2 linked regions of the Astyanax mexicanus genome follow. The protein of the gene in region 1 interacts with the protein of each later gene in a pairwise test. Links are inferred from orthologs where the notes say so. Each region holds a gene or a part of one and is shown in the gene's direction. Other genes may lie near its edges.

What was found.
Region 2: the proteins of zc3h10 (region 1) and nfyal interact in binary tests that used the Homo sapiens proteins (3 or more experiments, as listed by UniProt). The two-hybrid records come from large-scale screens. The link is inferred for Astyanax mexicanus from reciprocal best matches to the Homo sapiens genes ZC3H10 and NFYA.

What each region holds. Positions count from the first base shown.
Region 1 is NC_064412.1:44,327,293-44,335,285, forward strand, and holds the start of zc3h10 (zinc finger CCCH domain-containing protein 10), read left to right. Parts: upstream 1-4,895; 5' UTR 4,896-5,032; intron 5,033-5,054; exon of another isoform or gene 5,055-5,240; intron 5,241-7,993. Other genes in the region: cytochrome c oxidase subunit 6C-1, read left to right, coding at 3,065-3,169, 3,563-3,688. UniProt on the Homo sapiens protein: Specific regulator of miRNA biogenesis. Binds, via the C3H1-type zinc finger domains, to the binding motif 5'-GCAGCGC-3' on microRNA pri-MIR143 and negatively regulates the processing to mature microRNA.
Region 2 is NC_064419.1:41,614,327-41,622,480, reverse strand, and holds the start of nfyal (nuclear transcription factor Y, alpha, like), read left to right. Parts: upstream 1-5,007; 5' UTR 5,008-5,139; exon of another isoform or gene 5,140-5,210; intron 5,211-8,087; 5' UTR 8,088-8,109; coding exon 8,110-8,154. Other genes in the region: ngrn (neugrin), read right to left, coding at 1-129. UniProt on the Homo sapiens protein: Component of the sequence-specific heterotrimeric transcription factor (NF-Y) which specifically recognizes a 5'-CCAAT-3' box motif found in the promoters of its target genes.

The sequences.
Region 1 (7,993 bases):
TATAATTTTGGACTTTTATAATGAAGTAGTTGGGCAGGGCAGCTTCCGTCAGCTTGGAAACTGGCCATAGTGGTACCAGCAGGAAAGCCAGGAAAGGACTTGTCTGATACAGCTGGTTATAGGCCTAATACTTTAACTTCACATTTAAGTAAGCTTATGGAACGCATGATAACAGAAAGGTTGTCCTACTTTCTCGAGCGTCAGAATACCTTTTCTCCTTATCAGACTGGTTTTTGTAGGGGCAGAATGACGATGGACTCAATCCTAGGTTTAGAAGCAGATATCAGGAGGGTACAGCTTCATAAAGAAGTGGTTGTTGCTGTATTTTTTGATATTGAAAAGGCTTATGATATGCTGTGGCAAGAAGGTCTGCTAATTAAGCTGTCTGTGCTCGGAATCGGAGGGAGGATGTACAACTGGGTAATGGATTTTTTAATGAATAGGTCCATACAGGTCAGGGTGGGTACTTCTTGTTCTAAAGTGTATTCTATTGAAAATGGGACTCCGCAAGGCAGTGTATGTAGCCCTATTTTATTTAACATTATGATCAATGACATCTTTTCTGGGGTTAGTCCTGACGTAGCATCTTTGTATGCAGATGATGGGGCTCTGTGGAAGAGAGGGAGGAATCTATCTTCTGTTAAGCGAAAGATGCAGGAGGCAATTGTTGGGGTTGAACACTGGGCAAATGAATTCAAGTTATCTGTGGCTAAATCCCAGATCATCTATTTTTCTAAGAGATCAAAAAAATGAACTTGGGCTTAAACTGTATGGTCAGACTCTTGAACAGGTGAAGGTAGTCAGGTTTCTTGGTCTGTGGATGGACTCGAAATTGTCCTGGAAGCATCACATTATGAAGATCATAGATAAATGCAAAAATGGATTAAATGTCCTTAAATGCTTGGCAGGAACTGACTGGGGGGCTGACCGTTCCTCTCTCCAGTGCATTTATGATGCTCTAATTAGATCGGTTTTTGACTATGGCTGCATGGCCTATAGATCAGCTGCTGAGTCAAACCTAAAATTACTTGATGTAATACAAGCACAAGCACTGAGATTGTGTTGTGGTGCAGTTAGATCCTCCCCAGTGGCTTCTCTACAGGTTGAAACAGGAGAAATGCCTTTGCATTTTAGAAGACTTGCATTGTCTACAGTATATTGGTCCAACCTGAAGGGGCACATAGAGAGCCATCCAGCTGTGTCTGTTTTACATGATTGCAGTGCTCCTCTTCATGGTTCCTCAAGGAGTTTTGGGTGTCTGAGCAACTCCTTGGATGTTCCCATTGCCTAGTGTTTATTTTTCCCTCCTTAATAAAAAATGGAGTGATGCAGGAAGTGCAGCTGTTATGGTAGAACAACATCTGGCACTTAATTATTATGGTACTCTGCAGGTGTATACTGATGGGTCAAAGGATCCTACTGTGGGTTCCACATCAGCAGCGGTCTTTGTACCAGAATTTCATGTGGTTATTAGTAGGCGACTGTCTGATAACCTATCTGTATTTTCCTCCGAGCTTGTCGCCATTCTTTTAGCATTGCAGTGGGCTGAGGATGTTTGCCCAATGAGGATGGTGATTTGTTCAGATTCTTTGTCTGCTTTACAAAGCATCCAGTCTGGCAAATCTAAATGTAGACAAGACCTAATTTTAAAAATATCTCAGGCATTATTTCGTTTACACATGCAGACTATTTTAGTTCAGTTTTTATGGGTTCCAGCACATGTAGGGGTGGACGGTAATGAGACTGCTGACAAAGCTGCTAAACAATGCCTGAAGAAAAATAGATGTGACCTTGATATCCCTCTTAGCAAAGCTGAGGCAAGAGTGGTTGTAAAACAACATGTTAGAACATGAACCGAAGGGGAGGCATTTGTTTGCAATACAACCGAGAGTTGGTTTGGGTGGGAGTGGAGGGTACTGTCGGAGGCAGGAAATTGTACTAACAAGGCTCCGAGTAGGTCACAGTATGCTGAAAGCCTCTTTGCAAATAATACAGAAACACTCCACAGGGCTTTGTCGCCACTGTCCGCAGAGGGAAACCGTGGACCATGTTCTTTTTGTTGCAATAAATATGCTGTACAAAGGAAAATTTTGTTTTCTTCTCTTAAAGACAAGGGTCACAAAGACTTTTCTTTGACAGGATTGCTTTCTTATGGGGCAGGGATGGGTTCGGTTCACAAACTGGTTTTTCAATATTTGAAAGCTATTGGTATATTTTACTTTATTTAGTTTTTTTTTTCTCTCTCTCGTTTACTTTCTTTTATTTTTATGTACTTATTTATGAATTTCCTTTCACCTACATTTTGTTTATTATTGGCCATGTCACTTCCCGAAATCACACTTCATACTCCTGCTCAGTAGGTGGCGGTAATGCACCTTCAGTTGGTCTGCCATCCGCCATAAACCTGAAAGAAGAAGAAGAAGAAGAAGAAGAAGAAGTCAGGTTTCCGGTTGAAATCAGGTTGTGACGGTCGTTCCACTGAAGGTCGTGAAGACAGAAGCTGAGGTTAGAACTCCTTTCCCTTCTCTAGCTCAGAGTGAACTGTTCTTTATCACTGTGTTCTTCATTTTTTAAGGTAAATATAACTTTTCGTTATAAGCCAGTTCTGAGTGCATTCTCTCTTCAGCGTGAGCAGCAGAGCTCCCTAATGCTAATGTCCATTCTGTTAACAGCCTAGCTTAGCTAACCTAGCTTCTGGTAGCGTTTCAACAACTCGGTCATATTTACATTTTAAAATACGCATTTAGTGGTTATTATATTAACATCAGAAGTCTTATGTAGAACTGGAGCATATAGTTGACCTTTTCGACAGTTGTTGGCTGTTCCACTGCATTTAAGATGGTTCGGACAATAATGAGTCAGTTTTTTATAGTTTTTGCTTATTTAGTTTTTTATATTGACGTTATCCAACCCCTTTTCAGAAGTGTCTAGAACTGCACGTAGTCCATAAAATGTACAATTCCTTTCACATTCATATTCCAATTTTATATATATATATAAGTTGTTAAACTCCTGCCTGTCTTAAGAGCTGTATTTTAAAATATGTCTCTCCAGGTATTTCACCATGTCTCTTCCAAAGCCTGTGATGAGGGGTCTCCTTGGCAAGAGGTTGAGGTTTCACTTGCCTATTGCTTTTACTCTGTCCCTATTGGCAGCAGTTTCATTTAAGGTCAGTTATGTAGTCCTGATAGTTTGGTCTAACCGTTTGTGAGACCCAGTTGTGAATTTTTACCCTTATTGCGGTCCTGAAACACTGCCTAAATATGAGTGTGATTTGGGAAAAAATTACTTTCGTGTTACTTTAGGGCTGTCTTAATGGAATATTCATAAAGTCATTACTGTTCCCTTAAGTGTTGAATTTCCTTTAAATAATCCCTTAAGTATTTTTATTATTATTTTTTTTTTTTTTGTTAAGTGATATATCTGAGAAAATGTATGCAACAAACCTAATTCACTTGAGTAAGGGAATTCTTCTGTTATGTTTACTCTTAAGGTAAACTTAAGGTGTTGTATGCAACTGAGCCCAGCTTGTCCAAATAATTGTTTTCTTATTCTAATGTAGTACACAGTAACAGAACCCCGGAAGCAGGCTTATGCTGACTTCTACAAGAACTATGATGCCATGAAGGAGTTCAGTGCCATGAGAGAAGCTGGTGTTTTTGAAAGTGTGAGGCCTACAGGTGAATAAGGTGAGTGTCCAGCTCTTTTGAACAGGGTTTTTGAAATTTGTTTTGTGATATCACAAAAACAGTTGCATATATTGCCTATTCAGCAGGTTACCAATCAAGTTAATTATTAACAATTAATATTGGGTAGCTAATTAAAAGAGCGGGGGGTGGTGGGGGCTATATGTTAAGTTTACCTTGAGTGTCTTCTGGGGATGACTTTACACCCCAGGTGACTCATTCCAATTAAACATTCAGATAATTGTACACCATTTTCAAAGCCTTTCCATAAAATTCCAGACTACGAGGTTACCGCTACTGGTTACACACAGTAATTTTATTTTTGTGCTCTTTTTTTTTTTCTCTGTCTACAGGAGATCTCTACATCTGCATTCATGGCCTGCTGTTTTCATGTACCTTGCATATTGGATGTGAACATATCTGATGTTCTCATAACGTTACAAATAAACTTCTAAACATGTACACTCCTTGTCTTTTTTTTTAAACTCTGTGTGGTTAGTTAGTCATTAGGATAATTTAACCACTGTAGTCAGTAGTACTTCGTTGAGAATTTACTGCTATTTCACAATGCTGTTCCATAACGATAAATTATTTTTCGTTCTTGAATATTAAACTGAAGTGTAGATGCTAACATATGCCAGGGGGTTGCTAGGCTCTTGTGGAGCACTTCAACTCTTTCAGTATGCTGTGGCATTTGTACCAAATATGATATGATTTAAGAGACTGTTTAAAGGGCGAGTGTGTGTGCGTTGTTTTTTTATTATTATTATTATTATTTTTTTTAAAGCATTCATTTAATGTTAGGGATGTAGTCTGAATCAGTAGATGTCAGTAGTGTTTTATATTTAAAAGAAACTTAATGAATCAGAATTGTTTAGTGGTGAATAATATATGAAAAGTCTAAGACCTCTTAAAGCTCATTTAAATTATTGCACTAAATAGTTGTGGATCTGATATATAGATATTTATTTTAGGTCTTGAAGGGGTCTAAAAATTCATGAATTTATGCAGGTCACTGTATGACACAAATAATGCTAAGAGTTAGGAGGTCTGTTAGAAGACATGTTAAAAACTCAATAGTGGGTTTGAAGAGTATTTAAAATTGTTCTCTTTGTTGTGACACATGTTTCCTATCACAACAACTGCAGGATTTCCACTTTAAATATGACTTTTAACTTGAAGTGACACACCACCCCCCCCCCCCCCCCCTTCCGTTTGTCCACCCACCCGGGGTCCTTGTTGCAAATTGCTCCGTAAAGGTATAGTGTTTTTTGTAGATCTGCGGAAGTGTGGCTTGCTTCTAACAGCTGCGTGTGGAAACTACGTTCTACATATTACATGAAAAGGTAAGATAGATGAGCTGGAAATCGGAGAAGTTTGCTTTAGGCTTTTTTTGTATGCAAACGGAAGTATCAACTTTAACGCGCGTCGACCTCGAGAATGTATACATGGATAGCCAGCTAGTTTGTGCTTTCCCTCAGAATTTGAATTCTGAAGATTGATTTTGTATTTAGAGTGGTTGTACAGCGTCGTGGGCGGCTGTGTACGCGTGTGGTAAGTCGCCAGTTTTACACCCACTGATTTGATTAGTTGGGCTAGCTAGGTCCTTTGTAGCTAACAGTAATACGGAATTGAGTCCTTGCAAAAACAGCGCTTATTGTAAATGTAACGTTTACAAATATAAATATTTCACGTTTAATTATGTAGGTTAGTTAACCTACTTATATTCAGGGGCCCTACTGTAGCAAACTAGCTAGCATCGTTGTCCCGTCTAGTTAACCTAACCGGTTCTTTGGTTTGGCAGTTAGCTAGCTACGTTTTAGCCAAGTTAATTAGTTAACAGCTAATCAAACCATAAAAACAGCGGTTTAAAAATGTGTATCTATTTTTTATTCTATTATAGCTGTACTGTTTTCTTGTAGTGTATTATTCATAATATTATTATAACTAGTGGCAAGTACCATGTGCATAAAACAAAGTGTAGAAAAGCGCCAAACGTTCAAAGCCTTTTAACAAACGTTACTTCTATGCCAAAATTCCAGAATTAACCCATACCTAGCAGGCAATGAAAGAAAGGTTGTTTTTCCTCATCGACTTTTCCAGTCCACCCGAAGAAGTTGCAATACCAATGTTACGCCAGTAGATTGTAGTGTTTGACCGATTAGCAAAATATTTATTTATTTTCACTTTGTAAAACAAAATATATAAACACAAACACACATACACACACTTGAAAATGGCGATTTCCAAGCCTGGAAAAACTTTGGAAAAATAGAAAATACCCAGAAAGTTTTGTAAACATGGAAATTTGGTCTACAAATCTTTGTGTTTCAGTTTATGGATGGAGAAAATCTATTTTGATGTTTAATTCAGTAATTTAGCCCTACACGATGGAGCTCTCGGGATCTGACACACATTTTACTATTAAAGATTGTCATCATTTTAGACCTACTATAATCAATTTTAATTATAGTTTTAGTTGATTTTCGGTTTTGTTGTCCATGTCGGCGCTGATGTTTTAAACATCGTATGGTCTGTTTACTGTGGATTACTAGAAGAGCAATGAACGAATACATGTTAAGTGGATTCCCTCTCTCCATAGCAGAAACTTGAAGGACCTCTGAATTGATATCCTCTGACGCTCGCTATTGCAGAAATAGTGCACTATATCCTGGTGCTGTATCATACTTCCTCGGAGCGGACAAACTAATATTGTTTGTTGTTTAGTTGTCCCACAAGTCCCCCAACCTTAGTTCAGAGATTTTTTAATCAATATAAACAAAATTAAATTCATATGAAATTATAATAGATAATAGTGAACATATGTTTAGGAGAAAATAAAGAATAAGAAACACTGTAGAAATGTGTAGTTTTACAATGTAGTAAATACCATTTGTTGTCTTGGCTAAATATGAAATTATGGCTACTTCTTTTAGCTTACATATTCAACTCCATCATATTCTGAAGGCCCACACTGTAAAAAATGCAAACAGTGTTAAAAATGTGTTGGATTTAGTAATAGCATGGCCATTTTTGAGTTAATATAACTCTATTTACACTATTAAACACAAACTAATTTGTTTCAGAAAATATATTAATATTTACTCCGTATCTAAAGAAAAATAATTTATATTTACTCAGTATCTGGAGAAAATTGATTAAAATCGTGTACTAAATGCCTGAGTAAAAATTATTTAGATTTACTAAATAAAATAAAATGTATAAACTCATTTTAACATGCTGTTGTGTATTTAGACATACATACACTGCAAATCCTATTCCGCTGTACAGCTTTTTAAATTTTTATTTATATTCTAGATCTATTCAGATTTTTAATCTACCAAATATCATGTCTTGTGGTGACATGGCTTACTTTAATCATATTAACAGATTACCGTGCAATAAAACTATAGTTATACAACAGAAAGATTGACAATCTATTTGTCCTTCAAGTTGATAAAGGATTACTTGGAAAAAAAATTGATCCTGTAAAAAAAACTGCTCTCTCTCTCCACATCCATTGTGGCTAAAACAAGCCCAGAATATTTTTATTGTTCTTTTTTAATGTTTGCAAGTTCTTTTCCTGTTGGGTAAAAAAAAGGTAGCAGCAACATGAAGTCCAGAATGCAAGTGTGCTTATAGCAGCATGATAATGGAAGTACAAGATAAGATAACAGTACAAGATAAAGTGTCTCAGTGCGGTTTAAGGTGACAGTGTTTGTAAACAGTAATTGTCCTTGTAAAGTGTAAGTGCAGTGTGTTGTTTAGGTGGAGTTTAAGAGTCTTACAGCTTCTGGAATGAAGCTGTTTCTGAGTCTGGTTGTTTTGCACTTGATGCTCCGCAGCCTCCGGCCTGAGGGGAGCGTGTGCTGGGTGGGTGGGATCCTTCCTGATACAGGTGGCCCTTTTCCTGCATCTGGAGATGTAGATGTCTGTGGTGCTGGGGAGGTTGACTCCAACAATCTTCTGTGCAGCTTTTACCACCCTCTGTAGAGCTTTCCTGTCTGCAGCAGAGCAGCTCCCGTACCACACGGTGATGCTGGAGTACACAACGCTCTCCACCACACATCTGTAGAAGGAGGTGTGCTTCCAAGTCCAGCTCGTCTCAGCCTCCTGAGAAAGACGAGCTGCTGATGTGCCTTCCTGACCAGAGTGGAAGTGTTGTTGCTTCAGGTGAGGTTGCTGCTCATGTGTACATCCAAGCACCTGGAACTGTCGACCACTTCCACCGCAGATCCTCCACTGTGAGCAGTGTGAACAGGAGGCAGCTCAACACACAGCCCTGTGCTGAGGATTATGGTGGGGGA
Region 2 (8,154 bases), on another chromosome or scaffold:
TGACAGCCTCCCAGCAGAGTTCATCCACATGCGGGCATCATGGCTGGCGTGGCATTGAACTGGTGCAATTCCAGGTCCTGGAAAAGCAGCGAGCTTCATCCAGCGGACCAGCCTCAAAGAGCTGAGCATGCTGACCAGTGGACAAGAGTGTCCTTGTACTGAATGTGATGGTGACCTAATTTATTAAAAATAAATAATATTATTATTATTATTACACGCCTGCTGAAAAATCCAACTCAAGACTAGATATAGCTGGTAGCTGGTTTCAGACAGTCCAAGCTGGTCTTTAAAAGGTGGCTATGCTAATTTTCAGGAATATACTATTGCAACAAAACAGTAATACATATACAAGTTCTATTTAAGCCGGTTACGATAAGTACATTAATCGACTTGTACAATAAATAAACATTAACTCAACTCAATTATAATCATGAGTTACATACATTCAGATGAAATAAAAAATGTTTGTATAAAATAATTATGTAACAAAATACAACATATAACAAACAATTATGTAAAAGTAATGTAACAACAAAAATCTACCACAAAAATAAAGTGTAGAATGTTTAGTGCTGTATATAAACAATGCAGACATTAAAAATAAACACAGTAAATAACCAAATAAATACAAAATAGAATCATTTTAAGAATATTGTGATATCACAATATGGATTTCTTTATCGTATAGAATTTTAGTCAATATTACTGCATACGATACGATATGGCACACCCCTAATCACAATGTCAGTGTTTTTCAGTACCGTGCAGCTCTATTATCTAAACACTATTATAAAAGACTAGAAGACTAAACTCTTAAATCAGACTCTCTCCCTCATTGGCATTACTCTGAAATACTGAACATCTAACAAAGTATGAATATTTCTCCTAAATTCCCAATAAAATATTGTCATATTGTCGAAATAGCAAAAAAAAATGCAGAGTTCAGAAATCAATATTTGGTGAAATAACCCTGGTTTGTAATCACAGCTTTCATGCATCTTGGCACGTTCTCCTTCACCAGTCTTACACACTGCTTTTGGATAATTTTATGCCACTCCTGGTGCAAAAATTCAAGCAGTTCAATTTGGTTTGACGGCTTGTGATCATCCATCTTCCTTTTGGTTGTAAGAAAGAAACACATAATTTTAAGTGCTTTCTAATTTTTTCAAGAGCTGTATAATTTTTATTATTAAGGTAGACAAGGTATCTTATTTGGTCATATATTTAAAATATCCAGTAATACTGTTGTACGAATATAATTAAAGTATAAATATGGCTTGGTTATTTCTTAATTTTTGTAATTCCTCGTACCACCTTAAAAAGGAGCCACTGTTACTGTAAATAGCTCAGTATCTGTCAGTTAAGTTAGTGCTGCGCTGTTTAAGGTGGACCGGGTCATTTAATTGAAAAAGCCATGCTCAGCCTCTTCACACGGCTCACCACCGCAAGATAACCCGCTGTAGACTGAATTATCAGCTCTAAATAAGGTGTTAAAAATAAAGGGCGTTACCTGTCCTGAGCCCGCGCTCTATACTGAGAGATAAGTTATTATAACTCGATAAAATCTTGTATCTAACTCCAAAAACCCGCAGCTCAGCAACCGCACTGAAGTCTTCTTCTTCTTCTTTAGGCAGACCTATACATTACTTACAGGTTCATTACCGCCCCCTGCTGATCTGGAATGTGAAGCAGGATTTTTGGATCGTCAACTGAAATTACTAGTGAATCTAAAAAAAAATTAGAATATCATTGAAAAGTTGCTTTATTTCTGTAATTCAGTTCAAAATGTGAAACTCATATATTATATAGAATTATTACTCGCAGAATGATCTATTTTTTATCATTAATTTATTTTATTTTGATGATTACGGCTTACAGCCAGTGTAAATCCAAAAATCAGTTTCTCCGAAAATTAGAATTTTGACAAACATACCAATTGGTACTTCTGGTAGTATGGGCAGTGTGCCAAGTCCTGCTGAAAAATGAAATCCACATCGCCATAAAATTTTTCAGCAGAGGGAAGCATTAAGTGCTGTAAGATTTTGCGGGAAAACAAAACTGCACTGACTTTTGTACTGACTTGATATAACACAGTGGATCAACACCAGCAGATTACATGGCTCTCCAAATTATCACTGAATATCAGTCTATTTTTGCATTTTATTTGAAAATCAAGAGACCAGAGTCTGTCAATCTGAATTATCATTTAGAACAAATAAATTAAATTACATTAGACATAAAAAGTAAATTAGATAGAATCTGCTGTAAGAATACATATATTCGCTACAAGAGCCAAATTATTTTAAACACTAAACAGTTTGGAGTGTTTTTAAAGAATCTACATTTATATATAATGGGTGATTCTCACGAAAAACAGATTTAAAAGGGTTCACACTTGAAAAATTTCAAAAGGCATTTAAATATAAAATTTCTTTTTGTTATGCAAGACTAGGGTCTGAACTTTTTAGAAATACTTTTTTTTTTTAATTTTATAATTTTTTTCTGTATATTTTGCACCATTTTAGTCAGTCAGAGCACACACATTCTCAGTACCGCAACATGATAACACAGAACAGATATGGTTTAAAAGTTACACATTTGTTACTTTTTAAATAGATATTATTAACAGTTGTGCTCATATGTGTATATAACCCAGAAAATATTATATTTATAAGTTTCCCATTTTTTTTTATTTTATGATTTGTCTCATTACCGCAACAGATTTCATGATTCATGTCCTGTCTTTTCAGGATATTTAACTGAAAAATTACATGTATAATTTCTTATTTAGTACAGATGACCTATGAAGAAATACAATTTATCCAAATACCATTATAAACTAGAATTTGTTTTATAACAGTAAAATAATTAGTAAATAAATATGTGTTGCGGTAAAGAGAATGGTGTTTCGGTAAAGAGAGTCAATGTTTCGGTAAAGAGAGTCATTACAAGGATTCCTACTTAATTAACAATAACACTTTACACAACAAACACAGAGTGTGAATGCTGTGAATAAATAACAAATTCTAATGATGTACTTCTTGAGTTTTGTATGGAGTAGTAATATTGAACAAAATGTGGTATTTGCTGTTGAAAATTAATCTCAGTAAGACTCAAGCTGTGAAAATATCCTATTTTGAACTGTGTATTTTAATAAAACAAATTTCAACATACCTCATTAGACATAAATTCCTTAAAACTTTAAACATCACTGTATAACTAAATTGAAATGGAATGTTTAAATACAAAATAAGTAATTCAACATCTCATAAAACAACTTTTTTATTAAGTATTAATTTCATGACAGATATAAACATCAATGTACAACTAAATTGAAATTAAATATTTAAGTATGAAACAAGCAATTCAACATCTCATTAAACATCTTTGTATTAAGCATTAATCTCATGAAAAATGTAAACATCAATGTGCAACTAAATTAAAATTAAAGATAAAATTAAAGAAAGTTGTTTAATGAAATGTATATATGTGTGTATATATATAATTTTCATATATATAATATATACATTTCATGAAACAACTTTTATTGTTATAAACTGTTAATAAAGGTTGTTTCATAAAATGTGTATATATATATATATATATATATATATATATATATATATATATATATATATATATATATATATACATATAAACAGTTTATAACAATAAAAGTTTATAAAAATAAATTTCATGAAACAACCTTTATTAACAGTTTATAACAATAAAAGTTGTTTCATGAAATGTATATATTATATATATGAAAATTATATATTATATATATATATATATATATATATATATATATATATATATATATATATATATATATATATATTATTTTTATATATTATTTTTTATATCTTATGCGGAAGTTATATGGGTGTCACTGCCCTGCTACATAAATCTGTTTTTTATCTGAAATTGCATCATGTATTGTTTTATATATTGTTTATTATAAGTAAATAAAGGCTTTTTTATGAAACAATATATATATATATATATATATATATATATAAGTTCATGTCACTTAAAACATTAATTTCTCTTTACCGCAACAGTGAATCTCTCTACCGCAACAGGCCTTAAATTGTTGCGGTGTATGAGAAGGCTGTTGCGGAGTATGAGGGACCTTAACCTTCTTTGATCTCTGTGGGGCCACCATGATGCCTGGCTAAACTTTTGCTAGCTTTTTGTATTTAGACTTTAAAAACCTTAAAAATTCCCAAAACACAATAACATTTTCATTTTTTTAAACATTAAAAACTAGCTGTTTCGGTAATGAGAAACAAAAAGTTGTGTATGCTCGCTGACAACCAAGTTTTTAACATTTATCTGGAGAGGTATAAAATTAGGTGCTTACCTGGTAGCCATCTTGGGTGTCATACTAAAAGGTGTCCCCCCTCTCAAAATGGCTGTTTTTTTTTCTGTTCCTTGTGGTCTTAAATGGTGCTTGAAAATTGTTGCGGAGGCTGAGAACATTGGTTCTGACCAAAGTTATTTTTCTAAATATTTTCTTTTCTTTTACCAATGAATTCCAAGTAATACATTTTTATTGACTGTAACAATTTACTTTATGAGATACATTTAAGTTTTTTATTATTTATTTATTTTAAATATTAAAATTGTGTAATTGAAGAGCCGAGATTCAGCAATGGACGCGTTGCGGTACTGAGAATTTCACACTAAATTATAAAAAATACATAATTTAAAATATCACAATGTCTACTTTTAATCACTTCCAATATAGCCTTTGATGAGATGTTTATAAACCAGTGTTTCCCAAATTGATAGCATTTACCTGTTCATCACACTCCTTAATGCCACCTCATTAGTCTGATTTCGTGAGAATCACCCTAATACGTAGCCAAAATAGTAACGTTATTAAGTATTTCAATTGTTATTAAGCCCCATCTCTCATTTCCCACACTTAATGCGCGCTCCCGCTGCGCACGCGCCCCCCTCCCATGCGCGTCACCTCTGCGTGCCTGCGCGCGCCGCCTCCTCCTCCTCCCTCCTTGAAGCTCCTGCCCCCCGCGCGCCTCATTTGCGCCATTTTGTGGGAGAGCGGTGGTGATTGGGTTTCTGCGCGCCGTACTGGAGCCAATCAGAGGGACACCGGACAACAGAGACACGGTAAAGAGCGCGCGGCTCCCGGGCGGCGGAGCTGACAGCGGGGATTGGTTTATCAGTGACCAACCAAATGAGTAAATGTGCTAAATACTGAGATCAGCCCGGCGCTGCGAGAGCAGGGCGGCCGGCGGCTCGGAGACACTAACGCGGCTAAAATGGAGGGTTTAGCGCTGGAGCTCCAGCAGCCCGCAGACAAAGGAGCTTAGCTAGCCTAGCTTAGCCTGGCGAGCTGCCTGCCTGTCTAGCCCGGGCTGCAGCCCGCTTACTGCGGCGGGCCGGGGGGCGAGTGCGCCCCTGCGCGTTATTAGCTAACCTAGCTTAACTAGATATTCAGTCGGTCTGAGAGGGAAAAATATAAAAAATAAGATACAAAAACTACAAAAAATCTCTCACTTCACCCAGCTAACGGACCTGTTTAGTGTGCTGTCTGAAATTAGCATGGTTAGCTCAAGTAGCTTCAAAAACAACAGCCTGTTTAGCTAGCTAAGCTAACTCTAGCTAACATAAACATGACCTAACCTCAGAGCACAGCTAACAAATAACTTAGATAGGTTAGTTAACTGCCTGACCTTAACATGTACTTTACCTTTAAATGTAATTAAAAAACGTTACCTTTTATAATTTGTTCATATCTAACCCTAGCTTGTTTTTGAACTCTGAAATTGAGCTGCAAATCTAAACTGAAACCAAGCACTATGAAAGAAATGGTTTTACCTATTGAGAATACTGCTAGCTAAGTTACCTTTAAAAGGTAAGGTAAATGTTAAGGTTAGCCAGCTAGCTATCCTAATTACAAGCTGTGTTTTAAGGTTATATCATGTTTGTGTTATTCTGTAAGTCTGAATCCCTCCAGAGGCTCTATATTAAAATGATAGCAGGCGTCCCACCTCTCCTGTGAATTCAATGATTATCACAAATACTAAAAAAACAGTTGCTCAGTGAGGCTCACAAATCATATAGCTAAAAGATCCTGCAAATTATGACATTTTATACCAGGTCCTTTTGGGAACAATAAAGCAAGAGCATCCTAATTGGTCTGTCTTTGTGCTCACTAGACTTAGCAGTAGGGGTGGGCAATATTATATCGTATACAATATATCGTGACACAGAAATATCGTGATATTAAAAATCCATATTGTGATAATAGAGATGTTCTGTCTTAAAAGTAGTCTATTTACTGTGAAGCTTTAGGTTTATTTATTGTATAATTGTTTTAGTTTGTAGTTTATATGCATGCACTAAATATTCTGCAATATTATTTGCTGCATTATATTATTTTATGCTATGTTATTTATTTTGCCACATTATGATTATGCTGTTATACTATTATACTATATTTCTGAAATTAATTAATTATTTTTCTGTTTTCCTATATCGCCAAGTATATCGTTATCGCAAAAATACCCTGAAATATCGTGATATTATTTTAGAGCCATATCGCCCACCCCTATACTAGACAGATATAATCTGGCTCTAGTAGATATATAATGGGAAATGAGAAATGAATGTGAATTTTTATTTAGCTAAAAACAACAAAAAAGTGGTACTTTGATGTGCTAATAAGGTGTAGGTGATATGGCACAATATTTCAGGGTATAATATCGTTCACGATATTCAACATTTTTGGCGATATTATCACGTACGATACGATATGGCACACCCCTACTGCTAAGTATACTGAGCACAAAGATCGAGCAATCGGGATGCTCTTGCAATATTGTTCTCAAGAAGTACTATACTATACAAGGTCCTATTTTGCAGAATGTTGTAGTTATATTATTTGCGAGCCCAAACAGAGCCTCAGTGTTTGTGAGAATCATGGACTTGCAAACAAACAAACTAGGGTAGGATAGCTGGCTAAACTTTAACATTTTACCTGGTAAAGTACATTTTATAATTTGTTATAATTGATTTGCTGCCAGTTTATTGAGCTCTTGCAGCTTCATTCAACAGTGGTAGCTACAAGTCCCAATTCAGTTTTTACTTTATAGGTCTCATGTAAAACGTTTTACTAATGAAAACTTAATTTTTTATGAAGCCCATAAGTCCCCATGACTTAATTCTTGTTCCCATGCCTTAAGTTGTGGGCATGCATTAAGATCTTGTTCCCACTATATTTATTAAGTCACAATATTACTGTGTCATGATATATTGTGTATGTTATGCAGCATACCCATAAAGACTCACAGTAAACAATAGACTGTTTTCAAAGCAGAACGCTTCTGTTACCCTACTGTGGATATTTCTTAAAGTCACAATGTTACTAGCACGATGTATTGTGTATGATATGCTATGACACACCCCTACTACAGATTAACAAAGCCATTCTGATTAATGTGATTATCTTTTAATGTGATTTTGACTAGTCATTTGTGGGGTTAATTTTCTAATTAGCATCTGAAAAATAAATTTGCCAATTCATGCAATGCACATTTTACCACTAAAAGGTAGGGATGCACTGATGTAGGAATTCTGGGCTAATGCCAATATCTAATATTACATACTTACATATCTTCCTAAACTGATATACACATTTTACACTCACAAAGAGACTAGACACCCCAGTATAACTTCTTATATAATAAATGAAACAATTATATACCTTGCATTTTAGCTTTCAATCTTTCAAACTCCATACAAACAATATAATGAAAGGTTTCTCCTGTAAAATACTGATGTAATTCTGATGTCATTGTGCATCCCTAGTAAAAGCTTAGCTAAACTAGTTAGAATGTGATGTCATTTGAAGTCATTTTGGGCTGAAAGCTGGTCATAGACCAGCCATTTCCAGATAAGATTGGTCACCCCTGATAAAAAAAATACAGCTCTCAAATTGCATTTGTACTCGTTTATTGCCGTTTTATTGATATAATATACATATTTACATCTATTATTTAGTTATAATGGATATATGCTAAAAAAAAAAAAAAAAAAATGCGTTCTCTCTCTAGGCTGGTAAAATTTGGGAGTAAAATGGAGCAGTACAACTCCACGACAGGTGGGGAGCAGATAGTAGTC